2 linked regions of the Alligator mississippiensis genome follow. The main gene of each other region encodes a partner of the protein of the gene in region 2 in a complex. Links are inferred from orthologs where the notes say so. Each region holds a gene or a part of one and is shown on either strand. Other genes may lie near its edges. The genes, in order: SSRP1 and SUPT16H.

Region 1 (7,351 bases), on a different chromosome or scaffold from region 2:
CTTGGAGAGCACGTTCTGGGCAAACGCCTATCACATACGAGGGAAAGGAGGAAAGGAAGTGGGGTTAGCAGAGGCTTCCCCTCACCCTTGCTCTGCCTGCCAGCCCTCCTGGCCTACACGTACCTCCACAGGGTCCACACCGTCCTCCTGTGTGGGAGGGACGTAGAAGCGCACCTCCATGAGGGACACCTCAGCATCGTCATTTTGATGGAACTCCAACGTCACTTCATTCTTGCCCGTTGTACACTGTGACACATTGCTGAGAGGGATCTCAAACACTGGCTGCTCCCCAATGTCAAAGGAGAGAAGCTGGCCTGCACAGAGCAGTGGAAACCAAATAGATTGGCAGGAGTCACCAGACTGCCCCACACGGTGGGGGATCCCAGCCAGTGCCCTTTCATGAGCAGGTTCACCTTTCGTTGATCTTTTCTACTCAACCATGGCCAAAAGCAAAATGCCTCTGCACAAAAGGGCAGAACAGCAGGTTCCTCTCTCTCAGCTTCACTCTTGCCAGCACGCATCATTTGCAGTAGGGCCAAAATAGTTTCACTGCAGCGCCAAAGATGTGCCCCAATTCCACTCCCTCCCATCCAACTTCTCCCCAACTCACCTCCAAACCGCACAGTTCCCCAGTTCCACCCTTTCACACACAGGTCCTTCTCTGCCAGTTCCAGGCGATAGTGCGATTTAAAGAAATCTGAGAGTTTGTCAAACTCCTAAGCGGGAGAGAAAACATAGATGAAAAGTGATTATGAACCTCTGGCTTAAGCCATACCTCTTACCCCAACCCATACCAAAGCACTGGACTTCCTTCCTCTCCGACAGAACAGACTAACGTTAGTACCACAGCAATGCCCCTGGGGTGATGACAAAGCAGCTGAAGGAGACTCTAGCAGGAATACTCATCCAGGAGGTGGCCTGGTTGTAATTTGTAGTGCTTACCAAGAAGCACAGAGCAGACCAGAGGTGGACAAAACGCGGTCCGCAGGCCATTCTATCCGGCCCGCAGAGCCCATAAAAAAAATTCAGAAAATTAATATTTATCTGCCCCTGGCTGCCTGTCATGTGGCCCTCGATAGCTTGCCAAAACTCAGTAAGTGACTCTCCGCCTGAAATAATTGCCCACCCCTGGGGTAGACCCTGCTATTATATTGAAAGGACAGCAGGGAGGAGGTGTTACCAGTACTGAGTCTTTGCTGGACAGTTCATAGGGAGAGACTCAGGTTCAGAAAGCACTGGCAGCTCACACAGAAAAGCTGAGAGCCAAAGGTCACAACAAACTGTATGGTCCAGGAAAAAGATACACAGACGGTAGGAGGAAGGGGTGCATGATTAGAACCCAACAAGATGTAACACTCATGAGGGCATGAGCTGCACGCCTAGCATCCAGCAAGAGGCTAAGAGACCATATGGAGGGGGGAGCATGTGGTCCCCCCTCCACTCTTGAGAAGACAGGAGGTCTCCCCCACAAGGACACCAGCTGCCACCTCTAACCCTGGTCACTATCAAAAGAAAAGGACTCACCGATTCCCTGAAACCATCATACTTGTAGACGTGGCCATTTTTGGTAATCAGTTTGAGACCATGGCCCAGCGCCACACGGCGCCAGACACCCTCCGACAGCTCCGAAGCTTGGATGTTGTCCACTTTGCCTGTCTTGCTGTTCTTGAAGATCACACCTTGGCGACTCAGGCGCAACCGCCCATCATTCTGGCAGGAAGAGACACAGAGGTTGGTGGGCAGGAGCCAGAACCTCCCCCACACAGGCCGTCGCCCATGAGCAAGATATGAACAAAGTGGATAGAGCCAGGGAGCGCTCCCTGAATCACCAGTAGAAGCCAACCATCCTCTTACGTTTGAGCCAAGGAGGCCTCACTACCGCTCCTTTTGAAAATAAGACTGTATGCATCTTGCAGGCCAGATGTAACATACCAGCAACCCCACTCCCTGGGCAAAAGGCACCCCAAAATCAGCCATTCCTCATCCTCCAACAATGACTCCCACAGAAGCTCCATGGTTTAGGACACAACCAACCAAACTGGCACTGTGTGCCCTGCATTCACACCCTGTTTTGGCTTTAAAAACAACCGACCATTTGAGACAAGAACCCTCCTCAGCCGTATTTCACAGGCACGTGAATCAGTTGGGAACATTTACGGGAACTGCAGCCACACATTCAGATGTCCCAGGACTCAGATAAGTTAGCTTATGAACCTTAAATCCCTGCACACGTATGTGGTCAACCAACAAACAGACACACCTCAATCTTAAGTTTCTTGTGCAAGCCAGATCCCATGCTACAATCACCCAAGTCGTGGACCCCTCCCACAACCTCTACAACCCGATTCAAAAGTTTAGGGCAGGAAGTTACGAGTCTTCCCTTCCCCAGATAAAATGCCAGCTGGGAACGCAGGCAGGATTCTGGGGCTACGGCCCCAGTCCCCTGGACAGCCTCAAAGCCCCTTTATTACCCCACAGATGCTAAACCGAACAGGGTCCGATCATGTTGTGCCTCCTCTGATAGTAAGCCAGCCCCAGTCCCAAACGCTGGTGTCAGCATAGACTCCAGGACGCTACCTCCCTCCAGGCAAACAGGGAGAAGGTCCCAAATTTAAGGGCCTGACACAGGGCAAGCCTCCTGAGCCTGAAGCACACCGTAAAAAGGAGACAGGCGAGAAGCTGGGCCACGTGCCCCAGGCCCCTGCAGCAGGTGCCATGCGGTCCCCCCCTCCACTGCACCCTGCAGCTGTCCAGCTCAGCCTGGGGGCAGCCCCGGGGTCCCCCGCCCCCTGCCCCTCTCACCATGGACCCTTTCACTTCCTGGTAGATCTCGTTGAACTCCAGCGTGTCGGCCATGGCAGCTCCTGCCCCCTGCGGCCCGCGCCCAGCTGGCAGGGCAGCGCCTGGGGCGGCGGGACCCGGCGGGGAGGATGCCCAGGGCCGTCAGCACCCCGCTGCAGCCGGCGAGCACCGGGCGTCGGCCGAGCCGGAGGCACCTGGCGGCGAAACGGGAGGGATGAGCCCAGGGCGGCCCCGCGGGGGGGAGGAGGCAGAGCGGGCCGCGCACATCCCACCCCCCACCCGGGGTGCGCGGCACGGGGGGAGGGCACGTGGCCGGGGGGGGGCAATCCCCCTCCGCCCGATCCCCGGCCCTTGCCCCGCGCCTCCCCCGCTCACCGGGGGTCACTTTCCCGCCTGCGCAACACGAACCCCGCGCGAAGCTTCCGCCACCGGAAGATGCCCCCACTTCCGGCCCGGGCGGCCATGGCGACGCCGCAAGCCGCTCTAGGCCGCCAACTCTACCATAGAGCTGTGGGAGGCCTCCGGCAAGAGAGGGCGCGCCGGGGGAGGGCGGGCGCTCGGGAGCATAGAGTGTCCGGAGGCCTGAGGCTAGAGAGGCCGCTTGGCGGCCAAATCCCCTGCGTAGGGCTGGGAGGAGGTGGCGGCTGTGGGGGTGCTGCTGCGGGGTCCGCGGCGCCTGTCGCCATAGAGTCCTGGGAGAGCTCTGGGCAGAGCCCCCCCCACTCCCCCGGGATAATTAAGGCGACCCCCGCCTGGTCAGTGTCCCGGGCTGACGCGTCCTCAACCTCAGGATGGTTCTTGCGTCACAGGGTGGCCACGTGGCGTGGTGACGTCATGACGTCCACCTGTGGCATCACCACTGCCAAGCCCCCCTGCCCACCCCTCTGGCTGTGGGGCCAGCCCCTGGAGAGAAGCAGAGGGGATGCGTGCTCCCCCTCCCCTTGCAGGGTGAAAGCGCCCCGGGGTGTGTCCAGGGGAGCCTTCATGGCCCCTATGAAGTGTGACCAGCACCAACACCTCCAGAGCATGAGCTGCTGTGACCAGGAGGGCCCGGCGCCAACACTATTCTCTACTATCCCACAGCAACACTCGTGTCACCGTCACACTGCATTGCCACCACAGGCTGCCCTTCCGTGTGTGGGTGATTACACCAGGCACCAGCCCTGCTGAAGCAAGGGGCAGTGGAGTGGAGCTCCGTGATACGTTGTGTGCGCTTGCTGGAACCGTCGTTCCCATCACACACTGTGTCCCAGCAGAGCCAACACTCCCGGACGTTCTGCTCAAGGCTCTAACACTCCAACCCACGTGGCTGGCTGGTTGGGAGTTCATTGTGGTGCAAGCACAAAGCCTAGTGGGTAGCATGGCCAATCTGTCCCTGTAGCTGTGACAGAGGACTGGAGGAGGGGGTTGTCAACCTCCAATAATCAGATGAGTCCTTTCCATGCAGTCTCAGCAGAGGGGCTGCAATCAAGGCCTGCATGAGCTCTGGAGGGATAAACACCTCCCTCACCCTTCAAGAAGAAGAGCTAGGCATGTTAAGAGGCATAACACAGGCAAGGCGGGCATCTGGCTTGGTCGCGTGCCTGTTCTGCGGGTAAATGGACCATGTTAGTCTTCAGGGACCATTTTTACCTGCTGCTCACCAGCTGCTGATTTGTCCCCAGAGAGATCTGTATTTGCTTAGCTTCCTCCCCCTTCCTGTTGGCACAGAGTTGGGATGGCAGGGGCAGTTAACTGAGGGTGAGGGACATTAGCACTGCTGGGCAGGGAGAAGCTGCTGAGCTGAGATGCGCTAAGTGGATTCCTCTCTGGAATCATCAGGTGCATTAAGGACCTACTCGCTTGCACACACCAGGGAAGCTGCTTGGCAATGAACAGGCTATGAAGCCCCACCTTTTCCTGCCTCTCCCCACCAGCATCACTGTCCTCTGAGAATGGGGGTGGAGACTGTATAAAGGGGTCTCTCAGCTCCAGCCTGCCCAGAGTAGCAGCAAGGCAGAGGAAGGCTACCATCTGGATCCCAGGTTTAAAGGAGCAGCCCTCCCAAGTAGCTCTGGGAGCATCACCCATCGCTCCACTGATCTCCCATCCCTGCCTTGGTCTCAGCATCCCATCTCGACGGGGCTAGCAGGCATTAGCCAGTTCTTCCCACGCTGTGCCAAATGCCCACGGTCTCTTCCGGGATGAATTGTGTAGCCAACTTCTTCACCTATGAGACCACCAAGTCAGTGGTGGTGAAGAGCTGGACCATCGGTGTGATCAACCGCGCCGTGCAGCTGCTCATTGTCTCATACTTCATTGGGTAAGTGCAAGGAGCTCAGCGCTGGCCTGGCCAGCACCCTGACAACCTGTGACTGGTTCCAGCCTGGAACAGGGTGAACCCCAGAAGATGAGAAGAGTTTCCCTCCAGCAGAGACCTGTCCAGTTGTGATCCCTGCTCCTGAAGGAGAAAGGGCAGGGGGCAGGGACAGGCTAACCCACCCTAACACAGAATCCTTTCTGAGGACACCTCCACAAGCACACATGTGTAAATGGTGGGTGGAAGGGGTACTTGCTGGGCAGGGTGGAATATGATTGACTCACCCCCCACCTGCAGTGAGTTCCCATCCTTCCCAACCCCCACCCTTCCCCAGCCTGGGAACAGCCAGACAGCTCTACACAGGGGAAGAGGGTGGCCTTAGCAACTCCAGAGTCCCCTCTACCCAGAGCTGTCCTGGGACTCTATGTTGACAAGCATATATGAGCTCCCAAGGAGTGAGAGGCATTTAGGTGAACTGAGATGGTGTGGAGCTAAGCATCCAGAGCAGGAGGGTGAGATTCAGGATTGGAGGGGAGAGAGAAGATAAAGGGATGATGACAAGCAGGAGCACAAGGCTGTGCAGACGAGCGGGGCTGGAAAGTGAACTCTAGGCAGACACAACCAGAAAGGAGGCTGAGGCAGGTGCCTAGGGTGAAGAATTTACATCACACACAGCCCAGGGTTCCCTGGGACCTTCTTGGCATTGACATCAGAGAGGGGGTTGCAAGGGCAGGACTGTGGGATTAAGTGTCCAGGCTCCCACTGCTCCAACTCAGAGTGCCAAGCACTGTCTCGTCTGGCCATGGAGACTCAACTATCCCCTGGCTCCACCAGTGTTCTGAATCGACATGCATGATATGTTTGTGCATAAATGCATGCGTGTGTAGTCAAGTATGTGTGTATGCATGTAGGGGGGTTGTATGGAGAAACCATGGGTTCAGGCTCATTTACCCTGTCCTAATTCCCGCAAACACCCCCCATCAACCCTTAAGGGGGAATGTGCAAACCCAGCCACTGTGTTCACCGCCATGGTGGCAGAGTCTGTCATGGGGACCAGCAAGAATGCCTCAGAGTGAATGGGTGGTGGAAGTCTCTGCATGGATGTGTCCAGAGGCAATGGCTGTGGGTGGGAAGGAGTGGTGAGAAGATCACACATGTATGGGATGGGGTGAGACACAGTGACTGTGAAAAGGGTGCCAGTGTGTGTTCCTGCGCAAATATGAAAGGCATAAGCGGAGGGAGAAAAAACTATTTGGGGGTGCTGAGCATGCATGTACCCCCCCCCCAGTAAGTAAGTCTATGGGGGAAGGGGTGGGGAGAGGGTAAAGGGCTGTGGGGAGCAGATCGAGGCCCCCATGGTGAGGGAGTGGGGCACGGGCAGGGTATGGGGCTGGGGTGAATGGGGCCCCAGCCAGGCCAGGTTGTGGGACAGTCAGCCCAGGCAGCTCATCCAAGGGTGAGGGGGGCTCCCACCACTATGCACACCCTGGCAGAGGTGGTTGCTGCTATGGACTGGGCTTTGCTCCCTGCTGCCACTGCCTCCAAGCCACACAAATCCACGTGTGTCCTGCCACTGGGCGGGCAGGAGGTAGGGCGCAGCCCAGCAGCAGCAGGCATGTGGCATTGCGCTGCTCCCAGGGCAGGTGCAGCAGGGTATAATGCACAGTGTGCAGTGGCAGCCACCTCCACCCCACACACAGACTGGGGAGGAGCCGCCCAGGCTTTGATTCTCCCACCACCTGGCCCAGCCAGGGCCCCATTCACCCTATCCCTGCCCCTGCCTGTGCCCCACTCCCTCCCTCAGCACTGGGGCCTCGATCTGCCCCCCAACACAGCCCTTTCCCCTTCACCAAATTGACTGGTACTTGCCTGCCATGCTGGGCAGCCAGTGATCCACAGGCCGAGCTGCGATTCTGGCTGCATGTGTGCCTCTTCCCACCCCTGCTACAGCCACCTGAAGCCCACGGCTGGGCTGCCTTGTAGCCCTACCCACTAACCTGCGTTTGAGGGGGCTGAGCCCTGTTAGTGCCAGTCTTCTGCTGCCTATGGTGAAAGGGGTAACCACATGGAGGAGGCGGAAGTGTTTGCATGAGTTTAGGGGGTGACCACATGGAGGAGGTGAACGTGTTTACATGAGTGTAGGAGTGACAACAGTATGGGTGTAAGTGTGTGTAGGTGCCTTTGCAAACCTCAGATGGGTGGATGGATGCATGTGAATCTTGGGGTGACTGTGACCCTGGGAGTAAAGGA
Region 2 (7,401 bases):
AGGGTTTGGGTGAGGCAGGCTGGAAACCAGTAGTAGCAGCACATCCCCATGCAGTAGCAGAAAGAAGAGATTTGGACACAAAGGGGCCGACTTGGGTGCCTGCAACCTGCAGGCTTGAGTGGCACCCCTCCCGCAAAGCTGGGCACTACTTACCCTTCTTAAGCCGATGCTGGTTCTTGCTGTTGATGACAAGGGAGCCCTCGCGGAACTCGATGCCCATGGCAAACCTGGGCAGAGAGAGAGCGGAGCAGCCATGTCACCCATAGCCACCACTCACCCCAGTCCCAAAGCCCCAACACCAGGGCAACCCCCCCCTCTGTGCTCCAGGCTAGAAGGCGTGGCTGCCAGCGCCGTGGCAGGAGCCAGCTCCCTGCCCCAGCAGCCTTGAAGCCTGAGTGGGTGCCTCTAAACCCAGAGGTGGGCAGATACTGGGGGGGGGGGCGGGGGGCCTGAAGCAATCTCTTACCCCAGGTTCTTAGTGATCTTGCTCAGCAGCTCCGGTTTCTGCTTCTTTACCACGTCCATGATAGCCGCGTAGACGTCACATAGTTTCACACCTAGGGTGGCAAATCTGAGTGAGCACCACATGGGTGGTGGGCAGAGCCCTGATGCTCCTACCTCTACACCCCTAGCCCCCAGCCCAGCCAGCCCCATGCTGGGTACCCTCCCCCCAAGCTCACCATGCTGCATCTCCTTAAGCATCTCATCCTGCAATTGCAACAGGAAGGTGTAGTTGTCCTGCATGTCCTGAGGGGGGTCCACCATGAGGGTGCGAACCAGGTTGGAGCAATACGACTTATAGCGGATGCCCATGGCACAGGTAATGGCCCCAAAGTGCATATGGTTCTTATCGCTGTCAGGAAAACAAGGGTAAACAGAATGAATGCGTCAGGGTGGGGAGCAACTGTCAGAAGGTGTCTTTGGCAAGCACCATACAGAAAAGCAGCTGGGCTGGAACTCGGTAAGAGGCAGCAAGAGTAGCACAGACCCAGACAAACCCCACTACCTGGGTTGTAAGTGGGGAGGCCTCTCCCCTACCTCAACCAAAGATGACTGGGGGGCTCTGGGTAGAAGAACACTGGACTCTTTTTGTAGGAAAGAACTGCACCTGTGTGCATGATCGTGCAAATTTTGGGGGGGGAGCACAAGACACCAACCTGACCACACTAAACTTCAGGTTGTAGTTGCCACCACTCTGGATGATGGGAGGGTAGCACATCTCCACCGTGGAGGGATCAGCTCCTGATAAGTACTTTTTCTCTTCGATGGCTTTCTCCACCGACTCGGCCAACTTGCTGTGCCGTACTTTCTGCAGGATGGGGTAAGGTGTACAGAATCAGGGTGGCTACTGGGGCAAGTTGAAGCCTGGGCAACTGTGCAACCTGGCCCCCTCCCCGTCCCCCACCGACCTCGTCAGCATCCACAATCTCCATGACACGCTCCTTGAAGAACTTGTTGAACACCTCAGAGGTGATAGCAGCTGCCTTGCGCATTAGGTTGAGCTCCCCATCCTCCTTCACTGCAATGGTGTAGGCCACGACCGCACTGATGTCCACCTGCACCAGGGCGGGGAAGGCAGGGACGGTCACCAGGCCGTTACCAGTATCCAACCCCCTACCCCAATCTCCCACGTGGCTCAGCTACCCCAGCCCCGCAGACCTTCTCAAAGCCTTCCTTGCTGAGGCAGTCGCTCCAGCTCTTCATGAACTCGCCGGGGAACTTGTCTTTGCTGAAAATGCCGATACGCTTCCCCCCCTTGCTGCCCTTCAGCGCCTCCACCATCTTCTCAAAGTTTCCCTTGTTGCTCTCGTTCTGCCAGGGGGGGGGAAGGGCACATCAGCACCTGGGTACTGGGCCACATGCCCTGTTTTGTACCACGATCAACCCCTATCCTTATCCCTCTAGCACGTAAGAGACGTATCACTCATCAGCGATGCCAGAAGACAGAACAAAAGTACCAAAAAAAATTGCTGATATCTGGAAAAATAGTCTCTCGACAACAGAGCTACCTAAAAAGATCGCGGACTTGGTACCACAGGCTACATAAAGCATCATCTAGGATGACGTAATAGGGGCTCTTTTGAGCAAGGGAGTGAATTAGACGCGAGCTCCCAAGACCCCTTCCAGCCGTCGCTGTCCAGGATCACAACTTCCCCAGGCCGTCCCTATGCTGCAGAGACAGCACCGGGGCCCTTCCCTCCGCCCCCAGCCCCGGCCCAGCACCGCCCCCCTGTCACCTGGGCTAGAGGCACGGGGACCGGCTCCCCGGCGCCCGCGGGGCTCCTCGAGCACCAGCAAACCGAGGGAGCGACCGGTTGGGAACCGCACACACGCGGGGGGGGGGGAGGGGGACGCGCACAGCCTGCCCGGAGACACCCCCGGCCTCGACACCCACCTTCTCGCGCACGAGCAGCGTGAGCGCGGGGATGCTGTCGCCGCCCTTGCTGTTGGCCAGCTGCTTGAGGAACTCCACCTTCTTCTTGCTGGCCATGAACAGGATCTTGTCCTCGCAGAACACCATGATGGTGTCGGTCAGCTCGTAGCCGAACAGCCATGTCTGGGGGGGGGGGGCGGGTGGGGGAGGGGATGGGGGACACACACGGCGGGGTCAGGGCCCAGCTCGCCCGCCCACCCGCCCCGGCGGCCCCCCCTTCCCCTTCCTCTCCCCTCCCCCCGCCCGGGCTGACCTGCAGGGCCGTGGACTTGGCGTAGACAATCTCCTCGTCCACCCCCACGGACACCACGATGCCGTCTACGTCGCCGTACTCCTCCTCGCCCTTCTGCAACACGGGGGGGAGGGTCAGTGCTGCCGCTGCCCCTTGCCGCTGCCCCCCCCGCCCGCTCCCGCCGCCCGGCCCGCACCTGCCACTGCGCGTAGAGGCGGCGCACGCGGCGGTAGTAGGCCTCGCGGTCCAGGCTCAGCGCCATGGAGGCGGCTCCGCGCTCCAGGCTCCGCCGCGGCCCCTAGCCCGGAAGCGATTCCGTCCTGCCCCCCTACCCTGCGGGGGGAAAACGCGCGGCCCGGGACGCGCTTCCGCTTCCGGGGCCATGACCCCACCCCCCCGGCGTGCGCGCGCGCGTGAAGGAGCGGGTGCGTTCAGGCAGCCCCGCCCCTCCCTCTGCGCGCGCCAAGGTTTTCGCGGGGTTTTCGCACTCGTCGCCTCAGGGCGCACGCGCCGGACCGGGCCCCTACCCCACGTGACGCGGCGAGCGCGCCGAGCTGCCTACGCATGCGCGTTTAGCCCCTCCTCACCACGTGACGCGTCCCCTTCCAGCCTCCCCCTCCTCCGCGCAGTTCGTGGCACTAGCTGCTTCTACGCATGCGCCACGCATAAAAAAAAAAGAAAACCCATAGGAGGGGGGGGGGAAAGAGGGTGACCCCATTGGGGATGCATGACCTTTGCTCCACTGCAGTGGCTCCATGCCCCCAGGAGCAGGGCAAGGGGGTTGGGGCAAGTGCCCCCCCAGGACAGAGTGGCTCACGGCAGGGGATGGGGCAATACTGCCAGCTGCATTTTAACTCATTTTATTAGAAAAGAAAAGAATCCAACTACGGGAAGCTCTAATGCGGCCCAGCCCCCCCGCCCCGGCCCCCCGCCCCCGCCGTATCACACAAGACATATTACATATTTATATAAATAGAGCCCGGGAGGGGGGGAAAGGACAGCACCGGGCCCCGCGCCGCTGGGGGTGGGCTGAGGGCCCCGGGGGGAGCGGGCGCGGGGCGAGCCCCTTGGCCCACGCACAGAGGAACAGAGACAGAGGGCGAGAAGGCGGCGGCGGCGGGCGGGCGGGGGCAGCAGCAGGGGGCGGTGGAGATGGGGAGAGGGGGGTGCCGGCGGCCGCTGCTCATGCTGGGGGCAGGCGGGGCAGGCACGGCCAGGGCTGGAGGGGCACGTGCAGCTCGGGCCCTCCTTTGCCTGCACCCGGGGCCGCCCGCGGGGGCTGCAGCACCGTGCACGTGGAGCCGGCCGCAGCGCCCATCAGGGCCTGGGCAGCCCAGGAGTCCCGCTATCCTGTCTGTCCGTCCATCCGGCCCTTGGTCCTCCGCTCAGTCACCCTCCTCGTTGGCCCCGTCGCTGGAGTCCGAGTTGGCCGGCATCATGGGGTCGTCCAGCAGGGAGAAGTCCCGCTCGGAGCTGGCGTAGCCCTGAGACAAGTCGTCCATCTCGTCTTCGTCCTCGTCGTCGTCCTCATCTGGCTGCAGGTGGCCCGGGTGCCCCAGGTGCAGCGGGGGGCCGGGAGCATAGCTACCGTGGCCCAGCCCAGGGTGCAGTAGGGTGGCGGAGGAGGAGGCTGCGGGTGCGGGGAAGGGCGCGTAGGGCAGCGCGGTGCCTGGGGCAGGGCCAGGCTGGAAGTGGCTGTGCAGGGCCAGGGGCCCCATAGCCCCCAGTTGGCCCTGTGCTGCACCCCCCATCAGCGAAACCATCTTGGAGAGGTCCACGCCTGCCCGGCGGCCCCGTGCTTTCTGACCCCCCGCTGCAGCCATGGGGCCTGGCAGGAGGCGGTGCAACATGGAGTCGGGCATGTAGCCCTGCAAGAAAGGAGGGAGGGAGGATGATGGTTAGTGCTAGGACCTTCCTGCCCCAGCCTCCCCTGAGTTCCTAGGGGACCCCCATCCCTGTCCCGAGCTGCAACAACCACGATGCCAGCAAGGCCTGGCCATACCTGTGAAAAGGAGGGAGCCCTTCCCTACTCCACAACTGCCCCTTTCAAGTCACCCCACTGCAGCTGAAACAGAGGTAGGGAGGGCAGGAGGGGGCTTAGGGGTAGGGTGCAGTTGGCCTCTCACCTTCTTGGTGCCTGGGGTGTCGGGCATGAGCCCCCGCTCCAGCCCGGGAAGGCAGCTAGCTTCGGCCATGCCTGGCTTCCGGCACCGGTGCCACTTGTACTGCTTGCGGCGGTCCTCCATGTACTAGGGGCAGAGAGCAGGATGGCGGGTCAGTGGCCTTGCTGTTCTGCTGCCCACAGAGCCCACAGTGCCAGGTGCTGCCCATGTAGAGCAAAACTGCCTCCTCCTGCCCCCATCCACACCCAGGAGAACACAGGTCCTTCCAAGTCTGAGATCTAAGCAGCTTGGACAGCCCGAGAGGCAGCACTCACCCGCCCCAGGCACACAGATGGGGCCGCATGCACAAGCAAAGTGGGGGCACAGTGAGGGTCTGGAGGAGTGGGGGACAGGGTGCCCCACACAGGCCAAATAAGCGCGACACTCACAGCCAGGAAGCGGGGGTCAATGGCGAAGTCAGGGTGCGCCTGCAGCCAGGCCTCGAGGTCAGCACGGCGTGGCGCTGCCTCCCCAACCAGCACCGTCCCGTCTGTCTTGCGAACCACTGGGATCCGCGCCTCCAGGTCGATGTCAGGGCCCCGCAGACTCTCCAGGCACTGTAGCTCCAGCTGGGGCCGAGGGCAAGGGGAAAGAGTCTCCATCAGGAGACAGGGACAGACACCGAATGACCAACTCTTGCCGCCCCTCGGGGCGCTGCAGACCAGTGGCAACAGGGACAGCCCCTGGCAGAGACGTCCCTGCCCCCAGAGCACTCTCCCAGCAGCAACAACCCTTTGCACTCACCTCCACCAACTTCTTGCTGCTCTTCTTGTGGCCTTGTAGATGCTGCGGTGGCCCCTGCCCATGCCCATGTCCATGTCCGTGGCCATGGCCCTGACTGTGGGTGTGTGCATGGGCATGGGCATGGGCATGAGGCTGGGGTGGGGGCTGATGCCGCTCACGCATGGCGCCATTGGGGACAAGCCTGTGCTTCTGGAAGGTCAGCTTGATCCCCTCCTCCTGCGGGCCAGGGGTGGGAGTCAGAGCAGGTTCAATAGGGAACAGAAGCCAAAGCTTGACCCCTACCCCCGCCAACTTCCTCCCATGCCACAGGGCGCCTCAGCTCTTCGCGAAAAGAGTTGAACTCACCCCCCCACGCCAGAGCCAAGCTGCGGGCCCAGCTGGGGGTCGGTATTAGCATGGCGAGTCATCATGGGCACCTCCCTACCCCCTGCCCCACACACGTGTGCACCCCCTGCTCCCCTACTAACATCCTTGATCTGCACTGTGAACTCCTTCTCCTCGGGGCTGTGCCGCAGCCGTGTGTAGGACATGGGTGCCTCGTCAGGGGGGCCGACACGGGGGGCAGGAGGGCCGTAGTCCCCAGGCAGCCGGGCCATGCCCTCTCCTGGTCCCCTGCAGACCTCTGGTCCACGTGGCCCAGAGGGCCACTTCCCGGTCAGCACAGCCTGGCAGATCAAGTCGATGCGGCTAAGGAGAGCCCGGTCCTGGGGGGGGAAGATGGGGATGGTTAATGTAGACATGGCAAATATGCCCCCACCAACAAACCAGATTTATGTGGCCCCAGTTAGAGTAAGTGGGGGTCACCAGTGGACCCACGGCAACTTCCCTGCCGCTGCAGGCAGACATCCAAGGGGATGCAACCTGAGAAAGGGTTCAGCCATGCCAGGACCCCTGACCTTACCTTGGGCCAGTCGTGGGCGCGGTTCCGCTCCTGCAGCAGCAGCTCTGGGGCACTGGGCTGGGGTGAGTCACCCTCGCGGGAGGTGGGCAAGGACAGCAGCGACTCCTCCTCCTCGTACAGCTTCCCTCCACAGGATGGCTCTGTGCCTGGCATGGGGACAGGGACAGGGACAGGGCAGGGGTGAGCAGAGGCAGCAGCCCCACCCTTAGCCCCAGGCAGCTCCCAGGACAGAGAAGGGCAACCTAGGGGGAACACAGAGGAGGGCAAAGCAGCAGCTCCCTCCCCCAATAAGCTATTGCTATTAAAGCTGGGGTTAGGGTGGGGGCACCCCCAGTCTAGCCCCTGCTCAGCGATGTGTTGCTCTTGTCAGAGCTACTCCAAAAGGCAGCAGGACATGGGGGCATGTCTAAAAGGACCCTTGCAGCTCCGACACCCCAGCCCAGCCCGTTCTTACCCCTCACGCATCTGTGATTCAGTTGGTCTGTAACAGGGGTGGCCGGGCACAAGAGGCACGGGCAGCCCACGTGCACGCATGGAGCAGGTGGGGGAAGGGGCAGGAACAAGAGCAGCAGATGGGGAAGGAAGCGGAAAGCAGAGCAGCAAATCAGGCCGGGAAAGGGGGCAGAGGGACACTTGAGGGAAGTGCAGAGCTTGGGGCACGTGCCTGTCAAATGCCTTCTAGGCCCACTGCCTGCCTTCAAACTAGCACAGCTAACCCTTTCTCCCAGAACGCCCGGACCTGCTGCAGGCAGAGCTGTCCCTAGAGGTGTGTGGGACCCAGGGCATATCAGCCTGTGCAGGGCCCGGGGGGGGGTTGTGGGGAGCAGTCGAAGCCAGCAGCACTCGGCGGCAGTGGCACCAACCGCAGGACCCCCCCAAAGTGCAGGGCCCAGGGTGGTCGCCTCCCCCCAGGGGAGACCCTGGCTGC

The links.
Region 1: SUPT16H (region 2) and SSRP1 share a complex: the UniProt entries of both Homo sapiens proteins name them as parts of the FACT complex. The link is inferred for Alligator mississippiensis from reciprocal best matches to the Homo sapiens genes SUPT16H and SSRP1.

The regions. Positions count from the first base shown.
Region 1 is NC_081825.1:172,857,209-172,864,559, reverse strand, and holds the start of SSRP1 (FACT complex subunit SSRP1), read right to left. Parts: upstream 3,252-7,351; 5' UTR 3,178-3,251; intron 2,997-3,177; 5' UTR 2,857-2,996; coding exon 2,803-2,856; intron 1,711-2,802; coding exon 1,525-1,710; intron 717-1,524; coding exon 611-716; intron 315-610; coding exon 124-314; intron 28-123; coding exon 1-27. Other genes in the region: P2RX3 (P2X purinoceptor 3), read left to right, coding at 4,965-5,104. UniProt on the Homo sapiens protein: Component of the FACT complex, a general chromatin factor that acts to reorganize nucleosomes. The FACT complex is involved in multiple processes that require DNA as a template such as mRNA elongation, DNA replication and DNA repair.
Region 2 is NC_081830.1:3,858,455-3,865,855, forward strand, and holds the start of SUPT16H (FACT complex subunit SPT16), read right to left. Parts: upstream 3,012-7,401; 5' UTR 2,929-3,011; coding exon 2,863-2,928; intron 2,781-2,862; coding exon 2,688-2,780; intron 2,558-2,687; coding exon 2,396-2,557; intron 1,813-2,395; coding exon 1,660-1,812; intron 1,557-1,659; coding exon 1,410-1,556; intron 1,310-1,409; coding exon 1,158-1,309; intron 854-1,157; coding exon 681-853; intron 558-680; coding exon 467-557; intron 228-466; coding exon 154-227; intron 1-153. Other genes in the region: CHD8 (chromodomain-helicase-DNA-binding protein 8), read right to left, coding at 4,052-4,534, 4,793-4,915, 5,218-5,397, 5,573-5,788, 6,040-6,276, 6,474-6,619, 6,928-6,954. UniProt on the Homo sapiens protein: Component of the FACT complex, a general chromatin factor that acts to reorganize nucleosomes. The FACT complex is involved in multiple processes that require DNA as a template such as mRNA elongation, DNA replication and DNA repair.